Neodiprion lecontei: one gene and its partner. The protein of the gene in region 1 purifies or fractionates together with the protein of each later gene. This does not show direct contact. Links are inferred from orthologs where the notes say so. Each region holds a gene or a part of one and is shown on either strand. Other genes may lie near its edges. The genes, in order: sarcolemmal membrane-associated protein and FGFR1 oncogene partner 2 homolog.

Region 1 (16,627 bases):
CAGGTCAGGTATTTTAATCATTTTCACTGTCAAAAGTTTGATTCTACAAGAACACAATATATGTATACAGAAGTATAGTCTTCTCTTTACCTGTCTTTATGGAAAAGGAAGAATTATATGTGGTGTTGGATGCAGAGAGAAAGATTCGTCTTAAATCTCTTGATAACGTCAGATAATAATAACTATCAGTTTTCCATCTCACATTTCTCTAATCAAATTAATTTATCAGGATATTCTTCATTGTTACTTGAAATCGAAAAAAACATTTCTCATACTTGTGTTTTTTCCGTTTCAATTTTTTTATTAAATGGTTAGAAAACGTTAGAATAATATGATTAGGGGTATATAATTTGTTTTATGTTGTAATTTATACGAAAATAGGTTCGCTTTCTGGGTATCAATATTTATTATAAACCATCGCTTGAATAGGTAGCAAACAATCAAGAATTCGCCTCGACCAAGATACATGAAACATTATTTTGTAAGTATTAATTAATTAGTCGTCCGGGGTCCAGATCCGGGAAGGTCGGAATCTTACTGTAAACCGGGTGATCGTCTAAAATGAGCCGACGTTGTTAATGGACCCTCTTCTGCAAATCCAGCAATCTCTTGTGGGACTATAGCAGACTCTTCGACTCCGGTACAGGGTCGACACATGCACTCAAGAGGTGCCTTGGTAATCACCTAAAACAGCAATACTGTTGTTGACAGAAAATAATTTCATAACTTAAGAGTAAAAAGTAAATCAATACATAGGTAGGTATACGCAGTGCATTCGTTCTACAAATCGAGCAGTTAAACACTGCGAAAAATTATCGCTTCTACTCATTAATGGTGCAGATTTTTTGGAGTCAGTAGACTTACTATTGAAAAATTTCGGTTCGTGAAATAATTTCAAATGCTATTTAATTTAAATAATTTTCTAACATATTTTATCTAGCTGCGTGTTCAGAATCTGTCAGTGCATATTCGAAGCTGGCGCGCACGGTCCGATTCCGTGCGTTCCCTACTCCAAAATAAAAACAATATGGCAGTACTCGAAACACTAAGAATCTAAGTTTGGATAACAATAATTTTTTCCTGTATTTATCTCTCGACATACGTCTTTGAATGTTTCTTAAACAGTGTACAAGCACCTCGTGATACCTGCGACGAACTTATAGCTGTGTTTAAATCGCTAAAATCTCACCACCTTTCGGAATTTTCTTTCGCCTGGTTTCGCTTTCGGACAGAACAGCGACACGCTCGCTTCTCTCTCGCCGCTCTCTTGACAGCACATGCAGCTTCTTTCCATTTGCCAAATTTTCGAACCTGACACCTACGATATCAGGTATTGTTATTATTGTTTAATTATTTTTAAACTACGATAATCTGTCACCCTTCAACTGTTTTTACTTCACCTAACGTATCATTATCCACAAATCTTGAGCGTAACCACTATGTGTATATCTGTTTACTTATGTATACAGAAGTGTCAATTCATTCTTTGGTAATTACGATCCTCTATATTTTTTCATTTATTCAGTTTATGAAATCTACAGGACCCGAAGACACTTTAAGTTTTTAAATTCTGAGGTTTACCCAATTTTTTTTTACCATTATTGCACTGCAATTTACTTTCAATCATTTTTAGGTCATTTTTAGAATTTAAATGTTATTTTGACGAATAATAGGATGTGGATGTTTTTCTTACTTGTAAGTAGCTGCTGCAACGACCAGTGCATGCAAAACTTGGTATTGGTTTCGGAAAACAGCCTGGATAGCGCAGAACGTGTATTACGGGAGTCACTTGACACTCATCCACCCCTGCGATTGTAGAGACGTTTCCACAAAGTAGAAACATCAGTGTAGCCAGTAGAGCTGTTGTGTAAGTAAATTGACATTATTTTTCACTACTCTCAACACAATATTTAGCTATTTTCTATTACGGAAATATCACACTGTACAAATTTATGACTAACTTGTATTTATTTATTGTCTTAACTATACTTCTAGCTTTGATAGCGCAGTTCGTGAAGCTTGTGCAAAATCTTCTGGATTTTGCCGCAGTGGCTAAAATTTCAATCGCTTTATAGCTTAGTTTTAATCACTGCAAATTAATCTGTTGAATTTATTCACTCAAATTTTCTTAGGTACGAAAGTCATAATATATCGATCACAACTTCACCAAAACTCAGATTACAATGTTTTAGAATATCTCAGAGATGAAAATCATTTTTATTACATAACAATTTTTTCATTAATGATGCTCTAGATTTCACACTTCATTTCCAAATACTACTCACAAATCATATTGAGATTGCGCAGACCGTTTCTGCATTTCATTGAGTCCATGGATTTCTGGTAACTCTTTAAATAAATTGATTAAACGCTATTCAATGTCATAATGATGAAAGAACTTTGATATTCAACATAAGTCTTTTGGACACTAATTTTGATAATAAAGAACAAAGTGAAACGACACGTAATTCATTGAAATTAACGTTACTAGTTGGTTTGTCGTAGTCTTCTCGTTATTTAACTTACCAAACTGACAGAAAAATAGGTTTTCAGTGCGATACATTTTTAGGCTCTGCTAGCAAACCACTGTGGCTATTATTCTTCGGTCGTGGCTTTTTATACCCCACAGTTAGCTCCGTTCAGCCCCTACTTTGTGACGCCACTCCCTTATAGAGGGGGGAAACATCTGTTGCCTAAAACTATGCTTGCCAATACCCTGTATATAGTTGTTATACATCCCTATAAAATGGAGACCTTAGTTTTCTCATGCTAAAAATTAGTATTCTTCTGATTTCTCTATAATTCAGTTTAATTCACGAGAAATAAACTGACCTCATTTAATCACCGTTTTCAAGAGTAAGAAATTTACATGGAGGATGAAAAACTGTAAGTATGCAGTGGCGTAAAGTATAAGTGCAGTTCAGTCAAGTGTGAGGTTCTCAAAAGCATCTAAGTCTATAACTCCACCAAAAAATCGACTATTTTAGTTCTGTTAGTTGAGAACCTTCTTAGCCACTTCACAAGAGACGTATCGCTGGACACCCTATGGAGCAGCACGAAAAAACAACGTCATATAATGCTTTTTCATGGTTCACTCTTAGCGATTGAGCCAAATAACCAGGGAAAATCTATTGTTGACCTATAAAGAGCAGTTCCAAAACCATAAATGTAATAGCATTCCTTGAGTTGTCTCATGTCTTGGCAGTTGCAAAATATTTAATCGTCTACACGTTACTGGCAGAAATCCAGTCTATCAATTTTGGTGGTCCTTTGGTTTATTATATTTCTCAAGATATACTTATATCAATGATCCCCTATTTAGAGAGCTTCTTCTTTTGTGCAATACGCTACGGTTGTAGTGCAAAATTGAGCTATTTTATTTGTGTTAATTTCTGGTCAACAGTTCCACATTCCAATAATTCTTTGAATACACACAATTTGGATTAGTGGTGAGTGCAGAAAAATTTTTCATCTAATACATTTAAAAAAATAATTTCATCTAAACATCAATGTATATAACTTGAGTAATTAGTTGTTAGTAATTTGTTGACAACAATAATTATTTTTTCTTATTACATGTATTTGAGTCTCATTATGATTCAGCAAATTCAATTGATAAATACGACAATAATTCTTTGCACATTCAATGCGTGCTAGTCAGTTTTAAAGTAAGTAGAAATTAATATGTTTTCTTCTACAAGACGAGAGACTTGATGATGAATTGAATGCTTTTCCAACATTTGCGATCATTCGATTTATATATGAATTAAAAAATTTAATTCTCTCAGTCATACGCGGTAGTCAATAAGCAGAAGTCTTAAATCACACTATTGTTGGCAGATTGAGCTAATTCAGAATTCTATATGTATATCAATACCATGTTCAATATCATTACTATGTTCGATGTCATTCAGGAATTCACTATAAATGATTATTATTAACTGATCAAACGTTTCAGGTAATATTAACATCTTGAAATATTTAACGACTCGGAATATAGGCCATGTGTGAATCAAATTTATTGCAATGATTCAGCCAAACTTAATGACGTACGTATAATTCAAAGTGAAGTTGAAAAAAACGAGAATATGTATATTGGAAAATTGTATTTTATTCGCATTATTAAATACAAGCGCAGGGTTTCGTTGAAGAACAAGGTATTTCAAGTCATAATGTTTATATTATATAATCAATAATGATACAGTATTGGATTGTAACAAAAGACGACGATTATTGGTATAAGCATGTAGTCCAAGTCAGCAAATCACGAAGTTTTATCTTGCGAAATCCCCGCATTTGTAGCATTTGCATTCGGCTGGCTCTCGTAGCTTGATTTCCATGGAACCACCTTCTTCGCTGTCCAATCTAACACCATCTGCGTCATAGCAATGATCCAGGAAAACATCTCGCTCTTTTAGGTAACTTTCACGACAGCAGAAACATTCCTAAATAACACACAAGAGAAGAAAAATTAGTTTGGCTATAAGGAGAGTAGATATCAATCTAACTTTGATCTCGCTTTATTTTTATCACAAAGTTATTGAAGCAACCTATCAATAATTACTATACTTTCTTTGTTTCGGTGTACCTTTAAAAATCCTGTGGTGGAGACGACGCTTGGCTGTACCTGCGAATTACAAAATCCCTCGCATTTTGTAACCGTAATATCACCGCCACACGTTCTTTTCAAACGTCCCAGGTCGTCATACTCGTCTGTAGTAAAAACATATTACCAAATGTAATTTGAAGCTTATTTAAGCGTTTCAAGTTTTACCTTTAGTTACGTGAATTTCTGTTTGCAATGTCTCACAATTCTCATCTCCTGACAGCTGAGCGATTACATTACTTTTAAAAAGTGCCATAATGGCTAGTAAAAAAAGGACCGACTTCCGCATTATTTAACTTATTTCAACTGTAATAAGATTATTTCTAAGATGTCCTAGACTCGCGTGCGCTGCAATAAGATTTTCAATGAGCTTTGTCAACGTTTAGGGTCAAAGTGAGGAGACGAAATACGAGAGGAAAGCTTTTATACATACTTTTCCCACCCCTGACATTACGCGTTGGGGAGTAAACCACCCACTGTGTCTTGATAGCCTAGTCGATCCGAAATCACTTCCAACTACATACAGCTCGAACGTTTTTTTTTTTATTCTTTTTTTTTAATTCTTTTTCTTTGTAATACATCAGTTTATTCGTATAGAGATACTTTGCATTATCCACCTAATGCTTTTTTTATGTTATGTTCCCCAGTAGGAGGTACTATCTGACATTCCATAGCAAATCAGAGTTTTACTATACTAAGTATAGAAGCCTTGTATAAAATTGTCAGCTATAACAATTGTAAAAGATGTAAGGACTGGAATGAAATTATTTTTTTATCCTTATATACTTGACAAAATTTAGTGTCTTTAGTACGTCTGTTGCAATTGAGTATCTGGATGCACGCACAACCTAAGTTAACTTAGGCATTGATACAAGTTTTACGAAAGTTGAAAAGCTCGAATGAGCTCGTGTTTCATATCACAATACCTCGTTGGCAAAGTATCAATCTCGGAAGGTAATTATTTTAGCAACCTGTAGATGCATACTAAACTTCACGTCGTCAATAAACAATCCAAAACAATCACTTGGATCATTCTTAGGTGAAAAACGTGGAATTTCGTGTTAAATTTATTTTCCCTTACTATTCACAGTATTTCTAACTTTCATCTCATATACATGTACACAATTTAGTAGTCAAGAATAATTTGAATAGTTTTCATGAAAATATCATTCTAAATCCATTGAATTAATCATGACCAGAGCTAAGAGATGTGATCTCATAAATCTATGTATAAAAAAAAATTTTCAGAATGGCTGAATTTTTAAAATCGTATAAAATCCATCATTTTTATTGTCAACTTCTTATGATATTATTAATACCTGTTCTTCAAAGAACGTAATTATCCATCAACACATTATCAATTATCTTCTGTTTAGGATGCAGTCTGCTAAAAATTCCCCTAATTAATTTGTTTTCTTCAAATATTATTTGTCGGTAAATTCCAGAAAAAATCCAAACGATACGAAACACTAAAATAGTTTGGTTCTATTTTGTTTATTTTTTCCGTAAAAAAATTGACAGTATTACAAGCGCCAAATATTAGCCTAGATATGATGTGATTAGTCCATTAGATAAATTAATTTCAGTATTCAATGATCATCCCGTGTATTTCCTGGACAATTATCTTTCAAATCATCTACATCGTCATATGCTGCCCCGCACCATATGCAATAAAAATATTGATCTCTTAGGTATTTGGTTAAAATTTCTAATTTTTCACTAGCTGGTATCCTGTAGTGATCATCTTCATTTTCATCTTCATCCTCTTCACTTGATTCCACTGACTCGTTGTTTTCAGAGTCTTTTTTCTCTTCTTCCACTATCGGCCAGTACCAAATTTCTACAGGTTTGTCAATATTATTTTGATTATCTAGCTGCTCGCAGCTGTTTTGACTTCTACGTAAATCAACCTCTATCATCTGCTCGGTTTTTCTCTGTGAAATTCTTCCTCGAAAATCATTGGCGTTAAAATTATCCTCTTTCTTCTTCCCATTTTTTGTTGCTGACGGTTTTTTCTTCGGTGCTCTGCCTAAGCCCAGCCTATTTGTCTTCAGATCAATCGAAATTGGCTCGCATATTCCACTCTCCTTCTTCCCGATTCCTTGCCCAGGTGTGTATCCCATTTTCTCCAATAATTTAAAACCTGAATATAAGTAATAGTGGATATAACAGTTTCGAAAATAGTTCAAGTAGGATATTTGTCTAGCTCCAAGTGTGCAGAAATATAATTACAATGATTTGAGCTTGACCTTTATTGTCACTAGTGATGGCAGATGCTAGTCCTTTATCTCTCGTTTCCTGTTCTATGACCCGTACAGACACATTTTTTTCCTTTAATCGAGCTTCAATCTCTGCCTTCTTTTTTAAAAGATCTAATTCCCGTTGATCTGAGCGACGACGAGCGAGAATTGGAGTGCAGTGTTCTTCGGTAGCATGGAGAAATTTATCAGACATGTAATCTTCATCATCGGACATGATTTATTACCTACCTGAAAATTGAATACAGATAAGTAGAAATGTAAAAAATTCGCAACCACGTTGAAGACTAAACCATTGTTGTGACAGACCTGATGAGTGAACATAACGTACCGATAAAAAAATTAATTAACAAGTGAGGCTCAAGATGGTCGTGACAAAAGTTCCCTCATATGTAATACCATAAACACTCAAATTTCTTCGATTCTTCCCCTTTTTTTTCGTTAATCTTCTGTCAACTTGCTTTTGAGGTTATCTTCAATTTCTACTGATAATGATTTGACCAAGTTATTCAAACGATCTTGTCACAGGATATTTTTCAAAAAATTTTACTCGCGCTTCTCCATTTGCACGTAAGATTCGCCTAGCCTCGCATTCAGGTTGATTGAAATACTTTGAGAATATCCATGTACGATGAACTCGCTCCGGTTTATGTGGGAAATTATGCATACAAATGGTCATGTGATATTTTAAAAGGACGTACGTCACACATACACATATTCATACGCAGATACATCCGACGGTCGATAAACGGAAGAAACACCGGAATCGGAATTCGGACTGACTCTCAAGGAACAAAGTGAATTCGGACCACTGTGTTTCCGCAGTCCACCCGTGTACAATATTTTGTCTTTCAATTGTTTATTTAATTGCTCGTGTAGTCTCTTATTCCCATACGTGAAGCGTAGAGAACTCCGAAGGCGATGCGATCAAATCACTAATACCATCAGTACCGAGTAAAGTTCACGGGAGTTCAACGCAATTGTTGAGAGAGCGAAAAAAATATTCTGATTCTGTGTGTCTGTAGAGCAACATCTCGATCTCGAGACATCGGAGATTTCGCGTAATTATCGTGTTAAAAAAGTGCTTTCTACAACTACACCTTCGTCGCTGACCCCTTGAACGTTCGCCGTGTGTTACTTACGTTGCATTACCATGTTGAAACTGTGCCTGACAAATAAATTATATCAAATCTTAAAGTAACAAACACCGTTCACTGTTCCGTGTTTTAAGTAAAGTATTTTCGTCTTGATACCAATAACGCAGAGCTGCTGCGAAAGTCGAGTGTGATTAAACTTGGGTGATATAATTTGACAAGCGTAACACAATACGCCTAGCGAGTTCCTACCGAGTGATGATTGTCCGTTTTTTATGCCGAGTTATGGCACGCTATTGTTAACGCCGATGAACCCTACGAGCCAGTTTAACAGCTATTTTCGTTGTGTGGGCGTGTGCAGCTTCTATCCACACATGGACTCGAACCATGGTACATGGTATCCGAAATTTTTCGAACATACAGCTTAAAGACCTTTCACCTTAAACGAGTTGATAATGTTATTGGGCGATAAGTTTCAAGCCATCTGGATAGGCGAATGAACTGAGAAAAAGTGACATTGACGTTTATGTAGTGGTGTACACAATATGAAGATCAATATTAATCATTGTAAAAATAATTGACGAAGATATAAGCTGCTGGAAATCTTATCGTGCATCCAAATGTGAAAATCCAAAATTAACACCAAACTAAACTAATCTCAACACTTTGATGAAGAAAGTGTTCAACGTACGATTAACCTACTGCCGTAACCACTAGCCAATTAATATATTTCTCATAGTTATATCCGTTAAATAAAGTTTACAATAGGTTATGGTTATAGCTAGTGGGGGTTGGATTCAAAATGCTACTTATTCGCCGACCCCGAACAATTCCAACCTGAACACTAGTAACACGCCAAACAACAAGATGGCTGCTAAGGCAGTTTTGATTTGTCGGGCAAATTCCCATCCATTTCACGAGCGCACCGTTTCGCTCGAACAACCGGTTAAAATTGGTCGTTCCGTGGCGAGAGCTCGAGCTACGCCGAACAATGCTATATTCGACTGTAAAGTGCTTTCGCGAAATCACGCCTTACTCTGGTACGAGGCTGGTAAATTTTATATGCAAGATACCAAGAGTAGTAACGGAACGTTTATCAATAGCCAAAGACTTAGCATAGGTGGCGAAGAATCAGGACCCAGGGAGGTGTGCTCTGGTGATATTGTACAGTTCGGAGTCGATGTTATGGAAAACACGAGGAAGGTTACTCACGGATGTATCGTCGCTACTTTAAAATTGTACCTGCCTGACGGTAAAGAAGCTAAAGCTAGCGTTAGCACGTCGGTTGCGAGTCCTACGAGTAGTGTATCCCTGGAGGATTTGTACAAACTTAATCAATTCTTGCAAGAAGCTAACAGACGGGAAGAGGTCCTTAACGGCAAACTTCATCACCTCCAAAGACTGGTAGAAACGACAAGACAGGCAGCCGATCAATCGTGGAAAGCTTTGATTGACGAGGACCGTTTATTATCGCGTGTCGAAACTGTCGAGAGTCAGCTAGTTGCTTATTCGAAGAATTTTACAGAGGATAAGATAAGGAATGAGCTTGTTAAACTCCAAGAAGACAAAGCACAGTATCAAACAGCGGCTAAGGAAGCTTTGCAGAAAATATTGCAGGAGAAGTTAGAGGTGACACAAAAGTTTGCCAATCTTGAAAGGCAGCTTAACAATACCGAAGATGAGTGTCAGAGTTTGCATGAAGTATCCAAAACTACGCAGGCTGAGCTACAGGAACTAGCAGCTAAGTATACCGAGGCCCAAACTAAAATAAGCGAATTTTCTAACAAATTGGTAGAGAGCGAAGACAAGATGAAGGACTTGGTAGCTCAAGCTGAACAAGAAAAGAAGGGACTGCTAAAAAGGATCAAGGATCAGGCTAGAGTGGAGAAAATCTTGCAGTCAAAACTGAGGGACTTCAGGTATGACTCTACTACCATTCACGAGAAAGTGACTGCACTTAGAAAGCACCTCAAGACTCTGCAAGATATGAATTTGGACCTTCTTACCGACGAGGCCCAGCTTGCCGTTAACAATATATTGTACAAAACAAAGCTGATGTCTATAGAAGACTTTGATTATAATGAGGAGTCTAATTCTTACGCGAACAAAATTGAGCATGACAATCAAATTAACTCAAACTCTTGCAACAAGAGCAATATCGACGTATCATTATCAGAGATAGATAAGATTGTAGGGTGCATCCTGGACCCACCTTCCAGGAGAACCCTGGTCAATGGAAACGCTAATTTAGATAATTTAGACACCAGCGTAGAGTCTGACAATAACTCTGAGGTTAGCGAAGACGCTTGTACCACCACCAGCGACGATGGCAGCGAAAAATCAGTCGTCGAAGTGAAGAGAACCAGCGAAGAAAACAGCACACCAACTAAAGCTGCCGGTCAGCCAGCTAGATTATTAGAGGTAAGATTTGCTTGCGAAGAAAATGGTGAACCTTTAGAGGTTCATTATGATCCTGTTGAACAAACCGGAGAGGAGTCCGAGGTTTCGAGTTTGACAAGTGATTCAAAGGATATTAAAAATTCAGCAGAAAGTGAATTCGAAGACATTGATAAATCTTTTGAAGTATGCGATAAAGAAAAGAAACGTGAAAATAGTGAGGAGCGTGACGAAGATGAAGAAGAATGCGGCGAGGGTGAACATTTAGATGGAGATTATATAAAGACTTTAAAACCGATATCGAAAAACGAGTCTGCACAACAAAGTTTACAGTCTAAGGAATATACTCTTCAAACTTTAATTGGCTCTTTGGACTCCTTGAAGGATGAAGATAACTATGAGGCACAGCAATTAGCTAATAAGGAGCTGGACGACCTTAGAGAATGGCTGATTCACGAGTCTAATGAAACTGTAATAAGTAAACTAAAGGAGTTGTATTATCGTGCTAAAAATGAGACTCAACGTATTCAAGAAATAAACGAAGAACTTGTCATTCTTAAAGAAAAGTGCAACGCTTGTACAGAAGAGAATACAGAACTAGTTAAAGGATACGAAGCTCTTAAAGCTCAGTGTGGAGATCTGTTGAATGTTACCTACACAGTTCCCATACAATACGTTGCACCAATCGCAATAGCATTTTTATGGATGCTGTTTGAAAAAATATTCTAATGTTCTCTAACTCTGTACATAGTTATTGTTCATACTATTATATTTGATTTTTTATGATGTCACATGTTAAGCATATTATTATGAGATATAGTATAAAGTAATTATCATAATAACAATAATAATAATAATACCAAGCATTACAGGATACTCCAGCATATTGTTTCGGTTGCAATTGAGAACCTTTTTTTATACGAAAAGAAAACAAACATAATAAATAAATTAACAGTGTACATATATACATATATTATATTTAACTCTAAAAGTCAAGGATGTGAAGATAAGTTTATTCGCTTCCATTATGAGTAAACATTGAATGGAAGCTCAGCATCTTACCATTTCAATTCAAGAACCAGAAAGAAATCAAATATTTATATTATTTTACTTCTATTTATATCCTTTACATCTTCAGTACACATAAAAACATTCAAGCATTGTGCCAATTCTTCGGAGTTGGAGATGTGTTAGAAAAATATATAGACAATACTGACGTACCGTATAAAAAATGAATAACCACTTTGCCAATTTCAATACCATATCGTTTTTAACGTATAAAACGTATTTCTACACTGAAAAAAAAAACGACATGCAAATTTATCGTATGTATCATTGATTATTATGCATTTTCATTTGCAAGTAATCGTGATAATGTATATTGGTAAATAAAATAACTAGAATGCAAAATTTTTTATAACTTAGCACGGAGAATCTTTTATACTCAAACTAAGTGAATATTCAGGAAAATTCAAAGATTTATGCAAATATGTAAAATTTATTCTCTACTGTACTAGCTGATATCACGCACTGAATATTGCCTGTGGAAAGCACTTGGTTCTGTTATATGTTAAATTTTATTGTAATAAATACATTAATGCAATGTTAATTGTTAGCTGGTAATTATGTTCTTGTTATTTAAATTTTCACAATATGGTTTACAGAACACCTCAATGTGGTATTGATCAGTATGGGCCTAGAGTTATTTTCATATTGGCAATAAATAAAATAATGGTCTCTCTTAATTATTCGTCGTTTATAGTAGATTAAAAATTTATTATATTTTCTTATCATGTTAGTTTTTGTAGTGTGCCATTGATTAATTCGATTCTTTCCATTTTGCAAAAAATAACTGAAAGATGTTGCACTATCTTTCCAGCGTAAAATGCAGCATGTTGTAGAATGAAACCAATTTGGAAGGTTTGAGATAGAATATGACGATAATAGTTATTAAATTCTGTACATATTTTGTTGATATAATATTAATACCTATGTAACAGTCACTATATAAAACGAAATAAAATTAAATTAATTGAAATTTTATTAATCCGTCTTACTATATCCTCTTGTAATTTGCACTGTGCTATCGCTTTCAATGTCAGCTTAAGCAGCCTTTAAAGTCAATTATTAGCCCTAATTAATTCTAGGAAGCATTGTTTTTTTAAAGTAGATATGAAATTAACTTGGATAAAAATGCGTTGAGCGAAATTTTTTTAATCATATACCTCTTGCATGTAATAGTTAAAAGTACAAATTAAGTATACGCATAATGAAACTAGTTGAAAAGTAATGAGGGATTAATTTTTTGTTGTAAGTAGTATAAATTTAATTATTGTATTGCATATAGTATACAGAAATTTATATCAGTACTTTGTGTTTAATTTACAGTCATGGATACCTAGCTGGTTCTAGTTCACTGAGTCATAACTAAAATCATAAGGACTTCCAATGCCATGCGGGCAATAATATTCTTGACAATAACTGGAATGTGCCGAAAACACTAACACATGGCAGGTGGTTCCAGTTCTAACGGAGATTCTTCTCCAAGTCGAGTATGTAGAGATTTTCTGCGCAACGTTTGCCACAGAGGGAAGCGATGTAAATATCTTCATGAAAGATCAGAAGATGACCCAGCAGATGAATATACTTTTTGTCATGATTTTCAAAATGGGATTTGCAATTGGCCGGGATGCCGATTTTTGCATTGCACTGAAAGTGAAGAAAAACACTTCAGAGCAACTGGTGAATTACCACCGCGTATTTTATCGAATTTGAAATGTAACAATGACAAATCCGAACTACCGTTATGCAAGGATTTCATCAAAGGCAGCTGCCAAAGAGTCAATTGTAAGTACAGGCATTACAAGAAGGAAGAACCACAGCATCCTATGGTCCCTCCGCCCCATCATACCGTTACGAGACCTCAACATAATTTTAATGGTGTCAGTAATGGCGAAAATCGAAGATATGAAGAAGAAAGAAGGTAATTTACTTGACAGTTGGAATTTAAGATTCAAAATAAGTATTACGGTTGAAAAATGCATTTGACAAGCAACTCTTTCATTGGTCTACCATAGTTATTTCTTAATTGATCAGTAGTTGCAGTGTGAAGAGATAATGTACTCTGACTGAGCAGAGAGCTAAAGTAGGTTCATGCATATAAATAGACATTCTATTACATTAACTATCACACTGGCTGCCTTCTATCGTGGATAGAACATGTTGTTGCTATTTAGATGAATCATGCATTAGACATGCATTGTAAGCATCAATCATATACATACATCTGACTGCGGTATATTCTGTAGCAAACAAGCAAAATTAATGATCAAGGCTATTTTTAAACTGATGTTTTTATCACTACCTCTGTACACGTAAATATTTACAAAGAGGATATCAAATCATACTGTACAGCTTTGGTTTCTTTGTTTCTGGTTTTTCTTCTTTTCAAGAAACTATCAATTTTTGAAATGTAATAAATCACAGATTACAATTGTTTATATATCATAGTTTTTATTGATGAATATGCTTGATTACCAGCTACCACTGGCAGATGGAGGACCCGCATCCACTGGTCCACAATAATGGCTACAATCCTTCTACGCATCCGCCTGATTATTTGGGGCCTCCTGAAGCAAAACGACGAATTGTCTCTGGAGAAACTATCTTGCATTTCGAAACGTCACCTCTGGTAGGACAGCATCCAACCCAGCCTGTAACTTCTAGCTATTACTATCCTGTAATCCCCAGAAATGAAGCTAGAGCTTTTAATCTCGAAGATGAAAATGCATTGCTGAAAAAAAAGATTGAGGAACTAAAAAAGCAGGTAAAGTTCGCAATATAATGTAATACAACTTTGTGGTGTTGGTCAAGTTTCTGTTTCATAGCTTTTAAAAGAATTCAGGCTTATCAATTTATAGTGAAATTGAAAAAATGACTCATGGAACATTAAACAATTGGTTTTAAGCAACTCAATTATAATACAGAGTGACTTTGTTTTATCAAAAATGTCGTTTAAAGTTAATTCTATACTCTTCAAATTGCAGGTCAACGATTTAACAGCGACAAATGAATTCCTACTGGACCAAAATGCACAACTAAGAATGTCTGGTAAAAGGACAACTAATGTAACTGCTGTAACAGTCCCAGCAGTTACGATAACAAACACTGTACCTCCATCTCAAGCTCCAACACCTCAACAGATGGTTAATGCTGCTGTAGCAGCTGGAACACTGCGAACTGTTACAGCTAGCGTTGCAACTGTTCCTGTGAGCATAGCAACAGTAACTCCTGTATCAATCGCTGCTGTTTCCATGGCACCGGTGTCTATTCCTCCACCGATTGTCACGATGGCTCAACAAACTATTAGTATGAGTGGTTCGGGTCCTCAGCCTACCAACCAACAAGCACCGAACGCTCAGCAACCAACAAACTTACCACTATCAATATCTGGTCCAACCGCACCACTCGTTTCTTATCCAATTATGACACAAGAACTGAGACCTGTCTTACAATAAAAGATTATTCTTTTATTGAAGTTAAAAAAACACCAACTCATTTAAATACTGTATTAGGGAGCCTAAGATCAAAACCATGATTCGTAACATCCCAGCTAAAACCGTATAAAATCAAAAGATTAGATGACTCTTGACCCGGCTAGGTGGGTAGTAACGGTCAAGAACGCAGCTGCTTCGTGGGGGGCCATTTCTGCTATGTCAAAACAAATAGGTAGACAGATGTATAACATCCTATCTGATAGTGAAAATGTACATAGATTTTGTTATTTTACTTATAAAATTTTTGGTTTAAGACATTTTGCGCGCAGCTTTTTACCTGGTGGAGTTTTCAAAAATGGCACCAAATTTAGCCAACCTCTTCCATAGCATCCCAGTTCGATTTTTTTAAATCCTTTTGTATGGCTACTGAGGTTACGAAAATACTGTTTTTAAACATTTTTAATACTGACTATAATGCCCAATAAACCAGATGCTGCACTCAGTTGGTCTGATAAAAATTTCTTCTATATCTAGGCAACTTATTTTATCATTTCCAACAAATGGGATTGGCTAAATTTGTTGACATTTTCAAAATGCAAATGCAACGTCTGAGGCGGTGCGATTTTTTTCTGACCCCAATTTAATTACAAGAATAATTTTCAGACGGCATGCTATACGTAATTTTTTTTCTCGTTTGTTTTTTCAGAATGGTCTCGTGGACAGGCGCTGCGCTATCGGCGTATGAAAAACGTGTCATTGGTATTTCAGGACTATCATGTAACTACATTCCGGAAATCAGACAAGATATTATCTAACAGGTCGGCTCAATTTGTTCACATTTTTGAGTTCAGGATCATATAATAGATTTTATACGGTTTTGGCCAGGATGTTATGAGTCAAAAATCATGGTCGTGAGCTGCCGTAATATACGTGTGTTCTACTTATCGTAATGATCAAGAAATATAAGCCTACGAATAGTTATATTTTATATACAAAAATAGATTGCTATAGGTACTTTTATTGTCCCAGATACTACTAAACAAAGCTTGCGAAATTTGTTAGCTTATTGGTTGTTTTCCCTCATATTAACGTAGCAGGCTTCTTTTCATATTTTCAGTAAGATATTTTTCTTCTTAGAAGTGGTAGAGTGGAGAATTCATTTATCATTGATTGTTAAATGTTTCTAAAGCAAAATATTACATATTTATAGAAAAGAAATGTCTAATTTGATACAAGTCTAGAAATTCCAGACAAATATAATAAATTGTGAAAGATGAACTGTATACCAATCCCGAACAGGTGTAGAGCCTTGAAAGTTATCGTGTGTACTTTGGTAAGTTCGTTGACTGAAGAATATAAAGACAGTTGCCCTAATGGGTTTTGGTGTGACAACCGAAAATCGTCGTGCGCTTGCACCCCCTGAGATGTTCCAACGGTAGAGTTGAGAAGTTATTGCAGAACATCAAGAGAGTTGCCGATTTCGACATGATGCTGGCTGCATTCACCTTCCGAGTAACGCAGTCTTCGCAACGGTAAGCCCAAGCCAGTACTTAACCTGTGTGTACTTACCGACTTGTCGGCGATACAAGAAATCAATAATGAGAATAAATTTCTTCCAAAATTCGTAGCAAAACAGTGATTTGATTATAGTATAAGTACCCGAGAGGAGAATGTATACATAGATCATAAATAATAATAGCTCAGATGTAATAATGATGCAGAGGCCAAAAAGTATATATGTAAATGCGGTCCATGTACGATATTGATATATATGAT
Region 2 (16,115 bases), on another chromosome or scaffold:
AATTGATTAATTAATATTTCTTAGAACCTCGCAACTCGTTACCACCTTTGCTGCTGAAATTGAGCGAGAGACGCCCTGAGCCTCTGGATTACATCGGCGTATCATTTGGCCTCACTGAACCACTTCTTAAATTCTGGAAGAGAGCCAATTTTGTTCCCGTTTACTTACGGTATGCATTCATTCAAATAGTGAACATGCTCAAGGATTTTGGTTACTAATTCTTGTTTACTTATAATTTAGGCAAACAACAAACGACTTGACTGGAGAGCATTCTTGTATTTTGTTGTGCAAACTGGGAAGTGATCAGGAAGAAACCAGTAATTGGATAGAGGCATATTCTAAGGATTTCCGTCGTCGATTTATAACACTTCTCTCATTCTCGTTCAGCTCATTCTCCCCATCTCTTGCACTTAGTGTTCTCATAAATAAGGCTATTCCAGTTTCTCAAATTAGTGAGTATTTGCTCATCTTTGAATGAACGTTGAACGTTCGAACTGTATCCTCAAGTATTTTCATTTGATAATCTAATGTTTTGCTTCAGCCCTAGAAAAAGATACATTGGACATGTATTTCACAACATACGACGTGAAGCGCCTAGAAATGTACAGTAATAATATGGCTGATTATCATCTAGTCATGGATTTGTTACCATCTCTAGCCAGACTCTATTTTCTCCACTTGATGGGTGACGTTCATTTCTCACCAGTTCAGTCTGTAAGCATTGCCGTGTTATATACTTGCATCTGTTATCTAAATTATTTAAAACAGATAGTTTTATACGACTTGTTGATCTTTAATTTCAGGCAATTCTACTTGGATTAGGCTTGCAGCATAAAACCGTTGACAAATTGGTAGAAGAGCTGGGCCTTCCTTCGTCTCAGCTATTGGGTTTGTTCAATCGTGTCATTCGGAGATCGGTGCAGTACTTGAACAGTGTGGTGGAAAACTTTATTGAAAATAAAATGATGAATAAAATAACAACTAATACTGGAGTAAATATGAACCCTATGGGTGGAAAAAGTATGCACGATGAACTGGAGGATGCAGCTAAGGTTTGGATTTTATGTTATTAATTCCATGGTACTTAGTACATGGTTTTACAATTATTTTGCTACTCCCGTTTTCCACTACAGATTCTCTAATGATTCTAGATATTTCATAACAGCGGTACACGAATTTTTTTTTGCAGGAACTGAAAGTTAAACAAAAAGCTGAACTAGACAGGTTGAAAAGAGAGAACCTAAGTCAGTATGCTATAAAAGGTTCAGAAACGGATTGGGAAAGTGCTCTTTCTGGGAAAAGTAGTCGTGCAAGTCTCATTTCTGTTAAAACTGCAGACAAAAGAATAGTTGACGATGATTCCAAGGATTTTGCAAAAAGCGGGCAGAAGAAAAAGAAGAAACGCTTCTCTAAGTAATACTTCTCGAATTATAAGAAATTACAGATGTGCAGTGCATGTATATTGATGAACATAAAGACACTCCCTCAACCTTTTTCAAATTCTTTATTGCGCCAATACGTATTAACAATATCATAACATAGATAGCAGAATGTAACTATTCAAAATAATTATTATCAACAATGTACTTTATACATTGGCAAATCAAGTTTCTTTCATGCTGTATTGATCGGGACAAAAGCTTGTTGAGTAATCGATTTTTGTTTGTGTTCAATGTCCCTTGTGCAGTGTGATTTTTGTTTTGATGAAACCTTTGATTGTTACGTTCATTTTTATATTTGTTATTGTTTTGCTTTGTCTTTTCAAAATGTTCTAACCTATGTCTGCTGTCATTATTTCTCGTTGTAGATTTATCATTAATGTTACAGTCATCTGGGTTTGTTAAGGCCGGAACGCTTACAGGAATGTTAGTATCAACTTTTATTTTTTTAAAAGGAACTTCCTCAGGTCCATCATCTGTGGAAGCAAAATAGCTACTGTAAGAACAATGGCAAGGTAACATTAGATAAAAGATTTTTAAAATATCGTGAAAATTCTAGAGTTATCTAATAAGATAAAATATAAACATTACAGCATACTGTATTACATAAACTTACCTTCGTCAGAATCTGTGCCATAATCTGCTACCAGACTCAACGAAAAATTTTTATTTGCCTCGAGGTTCATGGTTAGATCCACTTCATCACCACCAGAAATGTGCCCTGTACTTCTTATGTCCACTTCGTTGTCTGAATCCTCAATCAGAGAATACTCTTCATCACTCGTCGATTGCCGTAAGTTTACTTAAACATCAAGATTCACAGTATGTTCATAATTCAGTGTATGATTTTCTAAAATTGAAATTATACGCATTTTCCTTGAAAACTTTAATATATTCATCAAAACTATGACTTACAAGTGCCTGGAAACATTTGCAAGCCTCTATAAAGCTGCGATTCCATAGCCTTTGCAGGTACAGGTAAGGCACGTGGTCGTCTACGAGTTTTGCGTCTTGTAACTTTCTTTGTTTCATTCTTATGAATTCTATTGATTTCTGTTATTGATTTCTTCTCTCTAATTACTTCATACCGCTTTTGTTTCTCCAACGCTTCAGCTGCTAGATGTTTTATGTTTGCTTTTGTTGGGTATCGCCTGAAATCATAATTATGTTTATGAAATTTGATAGTATCAAGATTAAGAGATTATGTATCATTCAATATTTGAACAATAAATATTCAATGTAGCTACCGTTTGCGTTCTGCTATCCAGTTTTGGATATCTTCTGGCGTAGATAGATTCTTCATTCTATGATAAAGGCCTGTAGTGTGTTGCATGCTGATGTGTTTTTCAACGAGCTTTGGATGCGCTGAAAAGACACAATCGTCTATTCCACAAACTCGATGTTCCCCCATGTGCCGAGCAAGGGATTCCTCTGATGGGAACTCCCTGTCACATACCTCACAGTAATACTCGTGTTCTTCTTCCGAGCTCTGATAATTTTCATCTCTTTCATCATAAGCAGATGTGTCAGCTGAGTAGAGGGTTGCCTAAAATTCATAACTTGAAAAAATTATTCTCATTTAGTAAATCCTTAGGCGAATTAAAGTGCACTTGGAGTATAGTACTGACAGAATCCCCCGAAATGTGAAATTGCCTTAGAGTAAACAGGCTCAAGTAACTTCTCTTTGATGTAATGGCAGATGACTCAGTTATAAAAAAATGAAAAGATCGAGTAGTTCTGTAATCGCACTATATTTCAGTAAGTATTTCTAAGAGCTTCAGAGGTTCAAATATCTACATGAACTTTAAGTGATTCGAAAAGCATACCTAACTTATTTTTTTTATTTATACAGGACTGTATTCATTGCTTCAAAGTAAAAATTTGTGTTCTTTATTTGAGCTCAGATAATTGTCTACAGTATGTATTAACTGTAACAATATGCTTACCATTGAATGACTCATTTAATTCTTTTATCTGGTAGGCTCATATTATTTGTTTCTGAATGATGCAAAACTTCATAAGATAAGTTACGTATAATGCTTAGAAGAGCAATACCAATAAGTTGAGCGGTCAGTATACAGTAGTTACAATAGAAATTCAATATTTTACCAGCAATCAAATACTGAGATTAAAACGAGAATTACAAAAATAACAAAGTGTTTGTCACACTTTTAAGGAATCTTTTTTTTTTTATTGTACCAAAAAGTACTTTATCTTCAGCACAGCGAAGGTTATTATTCTTGCAGAGATTAGACATGCATAACTGATTCTTACTGTTGTATTAATAATGTTGAACACAGTATGTTTTGCAAGAAACTTAAAATACGATTATATTAGTGGATTATTATATCAGATCAGGTAAATTTACAATACGTGTTGTTCAAAAAACTATGATATCTTTTGAAACCTCAGAATATTATAAGCAAAAGATTGGCTACCCAATATTATACTGTGGTAAATTATATATTTGGTATTTCAGAAACAGAATGCTCCTACTTGGGCAATGTGTATGTAAAAATTATCCAAGTTTTATAGTAGTGTCTACATACAATGTTGATTGTCATTAAAGTAAATTGTTTCATTTAACAACAATAAGTGTACTACTTGTTAGATGTGCCGAAGAGAAACTTCTTGTGCAGCACTTTCAATTTGTGGATAATACAGAGTCAAAAGGAACAACATGATTACAAGTTATAGAAATATTTATTCTTACATTACGTTTTTTTAATACAAATTTCCTTTCGCTATTTATCATTTGCTTGAATAATATTGGGCCAGTACAAACAGTGAATTGAAACACTTTCCAACTGCAATTGATAAATTAAATACTACATTCAAATAAAAGCTACATGAAATAAATTTACATACATTACAGTGCTAAAAGCTATCTAAATGAAATGACTGCAGGCAATTCATTTAATCTAGAGTAATACCCAAAAATCTAAATAATTAAATCACAAAAACAGAATCCCCTCAGAAATTAATTTTACTATGTAATATCAATAAATATAGCTTGGAGCACTGTATACTGGCCGCAGAGCAATTTAGGAGCATATTAATTCAAAAGAAAAATTGTCTAAAGGCCAGTGTAACTTTGATCGTTACATATATAGGTATCTTAGTAAAGTCTTATGCATTTCCTTTAAGCAAGAGGTGTAAGAAAAACGTAAACAGGGATTTAACCAATACACTAGATGCTAATCAAATATTAGGAACAAAAAACGTCATTCAAGTCTTAAGTTGGATTTGAGAAGGTAATTTGCCTATACCTCTTTTTAGATTGGTATGTGCTATGTGTGCTCTTGTGCATCAATAATTTTCACATAATAAACAAAACGAACTATAATAGTAGTTTCTATAGTAAAGTAAATTTTTCGAGCTTTCAGAAATAGTTCGTTACTTCATTGAGACAATGAATATTGAATACTAAAAATATAAGTTTGACAATGGATTAACTTATTAATGGTTAGAAGAAAGAGGAGTAGCCTAAAGCTTAGGACTGAGCCTTTTCGCTGGAAGGCTGCGTCTCCTCCGCTAGCTTCATTTGCTCTGTTTGCTCAGTTGAATCGACAGTTATCTGAACACCCTTGGATTCAATTGAATTCTTATCACTTGTTTTTTGACCACCCTGTAACCAAAGTAATCTGTAAACTGTTGTGCTCTATTTATCTGTCCGAAAATTTCTTTAAACATCATAACACAATTGAAAAGTTAATGGCCATATTTGCGGCAAATTTCCCATTAAGATTTCTGACTCCTGCAGGTGTTCCAAATTTGCTCAGTTTCTATTCGGAGCACTCTGTGTACGATAATCAGTATGTAAAAGCGTCTTAAAATTCAATGCGAAGTTAACCCATGCTGAATTAAAATATTCTAGAAACTTATTATCAATGAATACCTGTTCCGGATTCTTGGCCAAATATTCCGTTTTAGCGTCACGAATCATTCTGGTAACTTTATTCCGCAAATCTTTAAACTCTTCCCATTCCATTGCGTCTTTGTTTTTTTTAGCTTTGGCGTATAGCTTGTTTTTCTTTTGTATTTCGCTACGAATCTCATCAGTCATCCATGGCTTCTTTAATTCTAATTCCTATGTACCGCAGATAGAAGAAGATCGATAAATATACAAATAAATGAATATATAGGTGAAAATTTTGGTTCAGCAGAAGTTATACAGACGGTTTTGATAGGTAACTAACAAATGATAACTGGTAAGATGAACCTATTAACCTTTGAGAGGGCCGGCATTTTCCCTTTGAAACTGAAATTTTTTAGAAGTATGATTTATGTAAATAAATATTTAACACGTTCGATGGAGTTTCCGAGTTATCTGCCAAATCCTAGAGGAGCCAGGCTGGCCTTCTAAAGGTTACTTTGATATATGTACGTCTGACATGATGATAATTAATCGTCTTCTTTCTTTCCATGTCTCTCACCAGACAATAGACAGCATGACTGCTTCTTATCTCACAGATGTGATATAGTTTTGGATAGCAATGAAATACATTTCAAAAAAACATTAGCATCTGTAATCGCAAGCCAAATTTTAGCTAATCGCGCATACAAACTAGAGCCATGCATTAGTGTCCATGTCACGTTTAGACATGGAAAGAGCCACGGATGCATGCGAATAACCACTTGGATGAATAATTAAGATGATAGAGAAACTGCGGTAAAACTAACAAGCAATGGACAACTTATAGCAAGTGGTTCACAATAAAGGCCAAACTTCATACTTATGCCTGTTTTGATTGGCTTTTGTAATGTGCAAAATTGATAAGAAATTAGTTGATGAATTATTCAGAATATTCTGTCTCAGCACATGACATTGCTCGACAATTTGTCCTCGATGCATACGAATCAGTGCTGTATGATAATTAAGTAAAAGACATCAATCGAATACCCAGACTTTATATGAAGTAACATTTACCTCAAGTTTGCTGACTTTTTTCGAATTATTCATTCCTTTACCCTTCATGTTAATTCCGCACAGCGGCAGACGGGCACGCATGTGCGGCAAACCTTGGGATGGCAGCATGCCTCGAGAAGTGGGTCTCATGGGAGGTGGACCACAGGGTCCCATTCCCCTGGGACCCATCATTGGCCCCATCATCATCGGTGGCATGCCGCGTATCCTGGGGCCAAACATTGGCATGCCGGGACCAGGTAATGGCATACGTTGCCTCATGGGGCCGAACATCGGATGCGGCGGCATTCTGAGCGGCATACCAGGAGGCGGTAGACGGCCACCGAACCGTGGAGGAGGCATGGGACGCATCCCGACCGGAGGCATTCGAGGGCCGAGCATTGGCCCCCTATTTAATGGGCTCATAACGTTCAAAAACGATCCGGAATTACGCGGTAACTGATTCTGAGGTAGACGTTACTTTCCGTCAGTGCAATGTTTATCGCGTGGGAAAGCTATAGGTTAAAACGCGATAAATTTACATGTGCGAGATCGCAATAGAAGGCAGGTTTTTTTTATTGTTTTTACTCTGTGTCCCCTTATTCGCGTTCACTATACACGTGCTCGAATCTTTAATACATCAAGTTCACGAAGTTGCCTACAACCGTTGATCAAATCAAACTGAATCGCAAAAATTCGATTCTCACAGGTACTGGACTCACGCGATGGCCATTCAAGGATGTACAAATTACTGGAGATTGGTGAATAAATGATCGCCCTGCTGGCGATGTCGACAGTTTGGCGCTAGCTTCGCATCGCGAAACACAGGGACGTCGTAGCAGTTGTCTTGATCGGTTGACTTTTAAGACAACTTGTAGAGATATCTTAACAAAGTTATCTTGAGGTATAATTAGTCGTGTCGGTGAATTTTCTGAAGAGACATCTTAAAAGGCAACTTTTAAAAATTGGTGTTCACTAGGATATCGTTAACGGAACATTCTGCGTTAGTTTCAACTTTCGGCGCCTGCCTAAAGCGAATGGGCAAACTGAACCATTGGGTAACCACTCTGTACTAGAGTCTCTGCTTCAAAGGGAGCCAGCCGTATAACGGTCGCGTGCAGTGTGTGACAATAATTGTGTGGTAAGTTATCGACATTTCAAAGAATAGCGAATAAATATGCATTCCGCAATGCCAGCATTATAGAGAAATATTTTTCACGGACGGGACGGAGTTTCTAACTCTATGACTATTGTCTAATTCATGTTCCATGTCGATGTTGCTGGCAGTTTTTGGAGTTTTTTCTTCTTGTCGCACCATTATTCACGTATCTTCGAATTTGTTCAATAACTTATTTTCAACAAATGGTTGAAACTATAGCGAAACCTAATAAATCTTTTAATTCAACTGTTCTTGCTGTCAACTTAGGCGACTAATAGTTTAGAAGAGTGAGAGAAACACATCTTACCCGTATTAATCCAACTTAACCTAACTTAACCTATCCGTCAAAATATCGCGTCATACGGTTTTAGTTTACGTACTGGTGTAGGTATAGCAATCATATGTGAACTCGGCAAAAGAATTACAGCTATGTTTCAATCAAATCGTACTTTGTGAGGCCTCAAATTATAAGCTGAAAATTTTTCGATAATATCTACATGAAAGTCATTCGTAACAATCAAATTGCTATTGTGTTAAATGTACGAATTGTAATTCGCTTTCTCTGTTAAGTTTTTGTTATATATGTGTTATAGATGTCGATAACTTTTCAACAAATTATGTTGGATGCTGAAAAGCTAGTGGGACGTATTTCGGATCAAGAAAATAATACGGATAATTTAATATCAGATATACAATCAGTATGCAGCCAAATCGACAGTATGAAACAAGTTAGTAAATTACAATTGAAAACTTAATGGTGAAGATAGTACACTTTTACATTTACTTATGAAGCACATTCTTTTTACTGTAATATCTTTTTTTCGACATTTAGTATCAAGAGGAAGTTGAAATCCTTAACTCGGAAGCACACCATAGACCTCACTTACAATTGATTGCTGGAATTCAACAAGAGAATAAGTATCTGCGTGAAATTCAAGCAGAGAATAAAGAATTAAAAAATGCTTTAGAGGATCATCAGAATGCTCTTGAATTAATAATGTCAAAATACAGAGAACAGACATCGTCTTTGATTCGCCGTTGCAAGGTGGATTTTACATCTTTCCACAATTCAAAGTATACTCAGGTAAGTTTGATATAAAAGAAAAAACTCACTGATGAATCTGCATTGGTTAATAAACAATGCAATTTCCATATAATATTATCTAAATATCTGACGTTGTTCCAACAGTTAATCACCAGCCAAGCGGAAAAGATCAACGAGATGGCGGCAGTGATGAAAACTGCAGCTGCGATCGATGAAGAGAATGATATAAGAGGGAAGGAAGTTTATTCTCGGCTTAAGGAAGAGAATACTGTTTTGCGAGAAATACTCGATATAGCTAATAAGTATGGTTCTCTGGATAAAGATCCAACGATGGACGATAAAACTGTTCAGACAGAGCCAGCATAAGAAAAGTATGAGATAGCATTCTAAATGTGTTCTGAATAATATCACTTGCATTGGTTATCTATGATAAACGGTAAATTTCAAAGATGATTGCGCAATGTGTATGTAATTTATGTGGTAGCTTGAAACTTTAACACAATGGAGATATAACGAATCAAGGACACAGGTCACTTCTGAACTAACTTGGATGTCGGTGGCAGGGAAGACCAAGTGCAGTGGTATGCGTGCATAGATGTACCAGCCATGCTAAGAGGGTTACGGCCAACTGTCAATCGATTGCTGGAAAATACTTTGTAGCTGCATGGTAAAACGTAGTTCAGGTACCGTTTACACCCGGAAAAATATTCATTTCAGTTACGTCTGTGAATTGGCAATGTCACTGGTTTGGATAGCTTTGTTCAACTTCCTGATACATCTTGAAAGCTAGTATTTTTGAATTAGACTGTGAGAAAGTTGAAGTATGTAATTTTATTTTGAAAACGTGAGATCCTTGCTTTTTTCTTCCCTTGACGATTGATCGGAGAAAGGTTATCCGTGCAGTAAGAACAGGCCCGCTGAAGTGAATCACTACTGGATTTCAAATTCTTGACCATCCCACGTCTGCTTTTAGCATCGTATATTATTATCTGGTTGCCAAAATAAATTCATGCATCATTTTAATTACGCAGACAAGTTTAATGGTTAACGTCCTCGTGTTGAACATAATTTGGTATAACTCAACTAGTCAACGTTATTGTACACATGTCAGTTATATTTAACCATAAGTTTATCGTATGTTCAGCTATCATCTGTTATTATTTGAATCTCTTTTTAACCTGTCAAATATCGACATAATTATAAATTAACAAATACCAGGCACTGACCCTATTTCGAAGGTAAAAATTTCAACACAACATTAAAACAATATAGGTATGTAACAATTAATTTTAGATGAAAACACTTCGTACTTATGATCGTAAACAAGGTAACAAAATATTTATACATTATTAAACAACTTTTGAAATTAAAATATTTAATGTATTACGCTACTGCAAATGCGATGCATTCGTGTATTGCGGGTTACGTCCCTTTAGGCGGAATTACACAAGTTGATTCAAATTTTTCACTATTCTAAAAGTGGATTTGATTTTCGTATCTAGTCTACATGGCTTTCACTCCTAAAAGGGATGATTACGAATATGAAAAAAACTATGTCGAAATATTTTAATGATCAGCTATATTTCTGAAAACTGATTAATCTCATTCGGCGTTTAACGGACTACAAATTAGAACGCGCATTGCGTCAGAATAGCGATCAGGGCGGGTGACAACTGTTATGTAATAATTATTGTGCCGTATGGAAGTAACAAATGCATATTCCATAAAATGTGCAATTCGTTTATTGTGCATAATTTTTAATCAATCAATTTTATATTTTTCGACCCATGATGACCGTATACGCATTCCTTTAGTGTTAACTATGGGGATAACAAATAAAATTTCGGAAAAAAATTTCACCACAATTCACGATCTTTGATATTCGCATGTCTCAGCAGCAGAAGCGGTATATGAAGTTAAATATTCTATGTCTAACGTATGTACGCGTTGAGCAGAATTTTGGAAAAAGTTCGAACTCATTTCTGGTAGCGCGGCGCTTTAAAATAGCTTCCGATAAAATAGAATTGTATGCCTCTGGTGCGTTACTCCGGCATAACGGAGGCTTTGCAATCAAATTATATGTCGAGCAGAAATATCGCAACCCGAAATCGTCAGAGTGCTTGAACACCGACGGTGAGACTGCTGGAAAAATCTTTGGTCAATATTAGTTATAATTAGCGATTTAAAATGTCAGAATTAGGTTTAATCAAATAAACGGAAAACGAGAAAACGCACAAATGACCGCTGTGCCTCGAAAAATGGCTGCATGCACATAAAAAGTCTGTACATATCATATGTGTAATACTTACAGTGCTTACACCTTCGCTGCATTTACATGTATACAGGTATTTTACGCGTAACCGTATAATCGCCATATTCTCAATAAGATAGAACTCATAGAGCGGCAGCACTTTTAAAATGTTCATTTATTATAGGGCGTAGCCACTCCCTACGGATGTTCCCAAGTCCCGTACCCCTTGTATATGCCTGCATGTAAACCTATAGGTGTACACCATATAATATATAGATGCTAAAGCAGTGTTCGTGGAATGACATACGATATGTACTACCTGAAATATTTCTTTCCGAAAATTTAACGCCCTGTTTCATAACTGATCGTCGATGCAACGAATCGGGTATTTTGGCGGGCACACAAGTTTTCTCTCAAATTAACGAATGTACGGAATTTTTGTCGTGGTATAAACGTTGAGAAAACGGTCAACTTCCATGAGGAAATTTAGCTGTCCAAGATTAAAACGGTCGCAAACCTTGACTACGATATATCTCTCTACGGCCAATTAGAGATAAAAGAACAATTAGAGAATCCACCGGCGACAGAAAAAAAATATATATATATTTTCCTCACGAGGCCTGTAAAGATAAAAAATCCTTAAGCCGCTTGCAATTTCCGCTCTTTGTAAGTTCGAGGCAGTAAAGTAATATCTGAAACGAGATATAAATGCACAGTTTGACGTTTCCAGTAGGAGTTGACAAGGGTCGGTTTTAGTGACTGTAATATTTGGCGCGAATAGACATGCAACAAATAAGTGTTGTAAAAATCTCACGGGCTGGGAAGGGTTAGGTGGAGGACGAATGCGAATTACCGTGACAGGGTTGCGGACTTGCAAATAAAAATACTGCCGGGTTCGAGCGTCTAATCCTTTTTATAAATCCTTTAAAAAACACAGACAAGTACACACATACGGAATAACCTGTTATGCAGGTAGAGCTGTGGATGGTGGAGGGTTTCGCCGCAATAAGACCCATCATAATGTACCAGCGGGCAGTCAGCTATAGTGTGGGAACAGTCAGTCCTGCACCGAGTAAAGGGCGGTTAGATGGGCGAAGTTAAACGAGCCCGCTGCTGTCGTCGTCGCTGCTGTTGCCGCCGTTGCTGCTGTTGCTGCTGCTGTTGCCGTTGCTGCTGCTGCTGTGCGAGCGAGCGCCAAATAGTGCAGTAGATACGTCGCCGCAGAAAGAGAGAGAGAGACAGAGAGGGAGGGAGAAAAATAAGGAGGGAAAATCTCGTGGCCGCACGATGCACGCATCTATGCGCCGCGCGCGGTGGCTTATTCTTGTTCGTTAAGGTTCGCGGGCGATTGTAGAAGTTTTGGGATACGTCTAGCGCGACTGGCGCGACTGCACAACCGATGCGCTGTATAAATTTTACGTGTGCTTATGTTTATACGCTTGCAGGGGCGTACAATTTTTCAATAGCCAACTATATATGAGCCACGATATCGCTTTGGCTTTAATTTTTCGCCGATCGGACATAATTAGCTTTCAAGTAAGAATGGTTTATATATTCCGCGTACGCATATTTATAGCCGATATTAGACTGTATACTTGAACAGCTATTAGTATGATTTATGAGCGTCGTTGTAAATTAAAGATCTAAAACATAGATATGCGGAAATCTATTGCAGTTTTTTAATGAAAACTGCACAACTTAAATCATGAATTTCTCTTATAATATGTACATAGATTTTTGTTCGAGACGATATCCAAGGGCTACACTGCACGTAGTTGCATGTATACTATAAATTTAAAATTCTTTAAACTAGCATTAAGATGAACCCAAGGCTCGCCGTTGCAGTTTATGTATGTAAAGTTTTCGGATAAATCATCGAATTTCAATACAGAGGTTTATTACATCGTAGTCTCGGTCCTTCGTATATTTGGTTGATTTTAACGCTACCTCAAAGTCTCGGAATGAGAATTATACGGCTGTCATTGATCGAAGGGCTTTGCGCAACCGTGCAATATATCGATTACGTTATAATATTCTGACCTAAAATTCGCGCGATAAGCAACTGCCGGGCCCTCGCGCGTGCAAGAACGCCTATCAAAGGCGATGTGGTTCTCCACTGTGAATATAAAATGGCGTCGACCTCGCACATCCATACATACATTACACGCGCGCACGCGATAGGCAAAGTTAGCCACAAAATGTGCCATGCGTTGTACGCATACACCTGCGCAATGTGTGCATAATACTGACGAATAATTAATCGCGCGTTATTACGAAATTCAGGCCCTTCTTCGCCGAGTACATCGCGACATGTGCACGCGCGCACTTTGCGCTTATACGTATAATCGCGACGCGTGCATTTACGTGCATCCAGCTACCTAATTGTACATGTACACACTACTGATATACACGCGGAGCAGCAACTAGACAAGAAAACCGTGAATAGATGTTGTGCACATAAACAGACGGTGTCGTACTCCGTTGCATGGTGTAACGTAATAATAAACGTACTCTACACAAATTTTGCTAAAAAGTCTCGAACAGTGACGATGATTATGCGCACGAAGCGTATAATGTAGGTACTTCGTCGCGTCGACGGTGTTTTTTGGGGTCAGTTTGAAATCGGGCACGCCAACATGACGCCTACGAGTGTACGTGCGTACCTTTAGGTACACATGCATCGTACCTACACACATAAAAGTTACTCTATACGTGTTTCTCGTATGTGTATATATATATATATATATATATATGTACACACATATACCTAGGAGAAAAATGACACGCACACTTTTAAAGACTTTCGACGCAATCGCGTTTCTCGGCCCTGTACATTTATTCGCTGGACGACCCTGGATGTGTGGTACTATGTATGTCAGTATACGCATGGCATGCGAGTATAGGGCGCGGACTAGCTGCTGCTGCTAACTTGATCTAGGACCAGCACGGAGCGCGAGCCCTAGACTGGCTAGACGGGAGGAACATGGTGTCGGTGGAGAGGGAGAGGGAGGAGGCCAAGGTGGCAAAGTAGGAGGAGGAGGTGAGGAGTAGCTGTGCCCAGGGCAAGCGCATTTCGTCTGTTAGGTATGGCGGGCGTCTATCGGAGCTAGACGATGGTGCGCTGCGGTGCAGGGCTATAGCTAGGCTAGTTATGGACAACCCTACTTGCCAAGGTCACCCTCCCTCTTTTCTCACTCTTTTTTTACGCTCTTATGCGATAGAAGGGTTTTATAGCTGCGTGGCCTTGAGACCAACAATGCCGGCGTGTTTCCTGTGCAGCACCTGTTACCGCGCTCTTTCTGTATTTATACCAACTGGTCTCGCGATGTACAATTTCTTCTTACCGTTAAATATACTACAATACTCGCCTGATCGCTAAGCCTCGCCAATAATTCTCCTACATTTAATTTATCCGTATCGACCCACGGCCACGACACGCAGACCTGCGGACCGTGCAACGTCTTCATCCGTGTACCGCGGTGAGTACGTCGGTCGATGAAAATAATTAAAACAGTAAGAAAGTTTCATCCGCATTGTCAATATTTCCATTTTCGTTCGCGTCTCTGATAGATGATAAAGTGTGATTCTTTGCGGTCAACTCGGTACACTCGTGACTTGTCGGAAGTTGACATCGTGATAGGAAAAAGGAACTGCATGGGGTTGAGTCGCACGCTGAACAAAAAAAAAAAATAATAGTAAAACGAAAGAATATATATATACGTGTTTCGAGGAGTTGCGTATATTCTTTCGTTTTACTATTATTATTATTATTATTATTTTTATATATATGTATATATATGGCATGTATATCGAACAAGTATCTCCGACGAAAAATAGAGGAAATATTCTGTCAATAAGTATCGATAGTAGAAAAATGTGCTATTTTGAATGACGTCGTCGCCTCACGAAATGTGAATGACTGTCCGTTTAAATGTCCCAGCCTCCGTTTTAACGGCGAGAGAATGAAATCATATCACACTGCGAGGCTTAACGAAAAGTGATGTATAACGAAACGAGTACGTGTTTTTCATTTTCTTTAAATCTCGATCAATGGAACTCGAAATACGTGCTAGAGTTTTTCTACTTTGCAAAAGTCGTTGAACCGGGAACCGTTGCGAATAGAAACCGGTATGGTTACGGCGGTGCGTACGGCGGTCAATTACACCCAGTAGCGAGTAGCGGATAAGTTGTAAATGGTTGGGGGCTGGTTGGAAAATTGCATGCAGCTTCTCAAAGTTGCCAAGTGACTATAAGCCCCGTATCTTCTTGCGATCACCGCTGAATGAATATAACTGGTACACACGTGTGGAGTTTCACCGGGTGATCGCGTTATAGAAATGGCGAGTATACATTACACGACACGTACTCGATTATATACGTATCTACTGTATGTATGTATATACATATTCCTGTATTTCGTTGACGTGGAGAAAATCTACGTAGACCGGGTGATGCAGTTTCAGAAAATCATGCGCATACATGTGGCAACAGTGCTAGGGCTAACATTCCACATGATCAGGACCGGTTTGCGGTTGCCGGCCTTCTAACACGAGTCTAATGCAGATAAACCTCCCACCCTCCCGCCCTCCCTTCCGCCCGCGCCATAGGGAGGTAAGAGGGCGACTAGGGCCGGCGAGTCAGTCTGGCGGTGGGGAAGGGGGGAGGAGGGGGGGGGGGGATTTGTCGCTTATTTTTTATTGCAACCGGCCGACGCTGCTGCTTCTGCTGCTTTGGCTGGCTGGCTGGCTCACTAGCTGCATGGCTGCTTGCTCGTTCGTTTGCTTCGCCTAGCCATGATCCATTCGTTCCTATATGCCAGCGATGTCTGCCAGCCGTGCTGTGTATTGCTATATATGTGTATATACATATATGCACTCCTGCATACGTAACTGCTTGAAGTCGACACACCAAATTCTTTGATTACAACTATCTTGCCTGAATGAAAAAAAAGAATGAGAAAAAATACATGCACATAGATTTTATACGTATATACGTTATAGCGGTTTGACTCGCTACGAAAAAATTTTGGTAGTTCGTACAAGATTCTACATTTATACGCGCGTATTGTGACGTATATGTGTTGTGTTATGTATCGTGAATTTTTTTACGGGACTTGTTTATAGTTGTACACATATGTCTTTCAAGTCCGTCTCTTATGGTTGTTGAAAAAAATTCAACGGCTCTCCCCCCCCCCCCCCCCCCTCTCCGAAGCTGCGAATGAAAAGTATTAATTCGCATATATCGGAAGTCAGAACCGAAATATAAATAATACGGAGCCGATGTGTTGAATGACGTTTCGTAACCTGACCTCCACG

What was found.
Region 2: the proteins of sarcolemmal membrane-associated protein (region 1) and FGFR1 oncogene partner 2 homolog purify together in Drosophila melanogaster (affinity purification with western blotting; 3 studies listed by BioGRID, with this or other methods). This does not show direct contact. The link is inferred for Neodiprion lecontei from reciprocal best matches to the Drosophila melanogaster genes Slmap and Fgop2.

The regions. Positions count from the first base shown.
Region 1 is NC_060263.1:38,395,062-38,411,688, reverse strand, and holds sarcolemmal membrane-associated protein, read left to right. Parts: upstream 1-8,368; 5' UTR 8,369-8,729; coding exon 8,730-11,084; 3' UTR 11,085-12,398; downstream 12,399-16,627. Other genes in the region: bursicon, read right to left, coding at 535-684, 1,190-1,318, 1,694-1,860, 2,527-2,563; partner of bursicon, read right to left, coding at 4,275-4,445, 4,589-4,713, 4,775-4,895; G patch domain-containing protein 11, read right to left, coding at 6,196-6,749, 6,856-7,081; zinc finger CCCH domain-containing protein 10, read left to right, coding at 12,863-13,338, 13,896-14,181, 14,402-14,872.
Region 2 is NC_060265.1:2,762,481-2,778,595, forward strand, and holds FGFR1 oncogene partner 2 homolog, read left to right. Parts: upstream 1-7,347; 5' UTR 7,348-7,486; intron 7,487-7,642; exon of another isoform or gene 7,643-7,892; intron 7,893-8,097; coding exon 8,098-8,232; intron 8,233-8,336; coding exon 8,337-8,588; intron 8,589-8,693; coding exon 8,694-8,915; 3' UTR 8,916-8,920; intron 8,921-9,033; 3' UTR 9,034-10,956; downstream 10,957-16,115. Other genes in the region: RNA cytidine acetyltransferase, read left to right, coding at 25-169, 241-452, 542-714, 804-1,052, 1,190-1,417; nuclear fragile X mental retardation-interacting protein 1, read right to left, coding at 1,557-1,915, 2,056-2,241, 2,355-2,590, 2,687-2,985, 5,338-5,529, 6,370-6,771.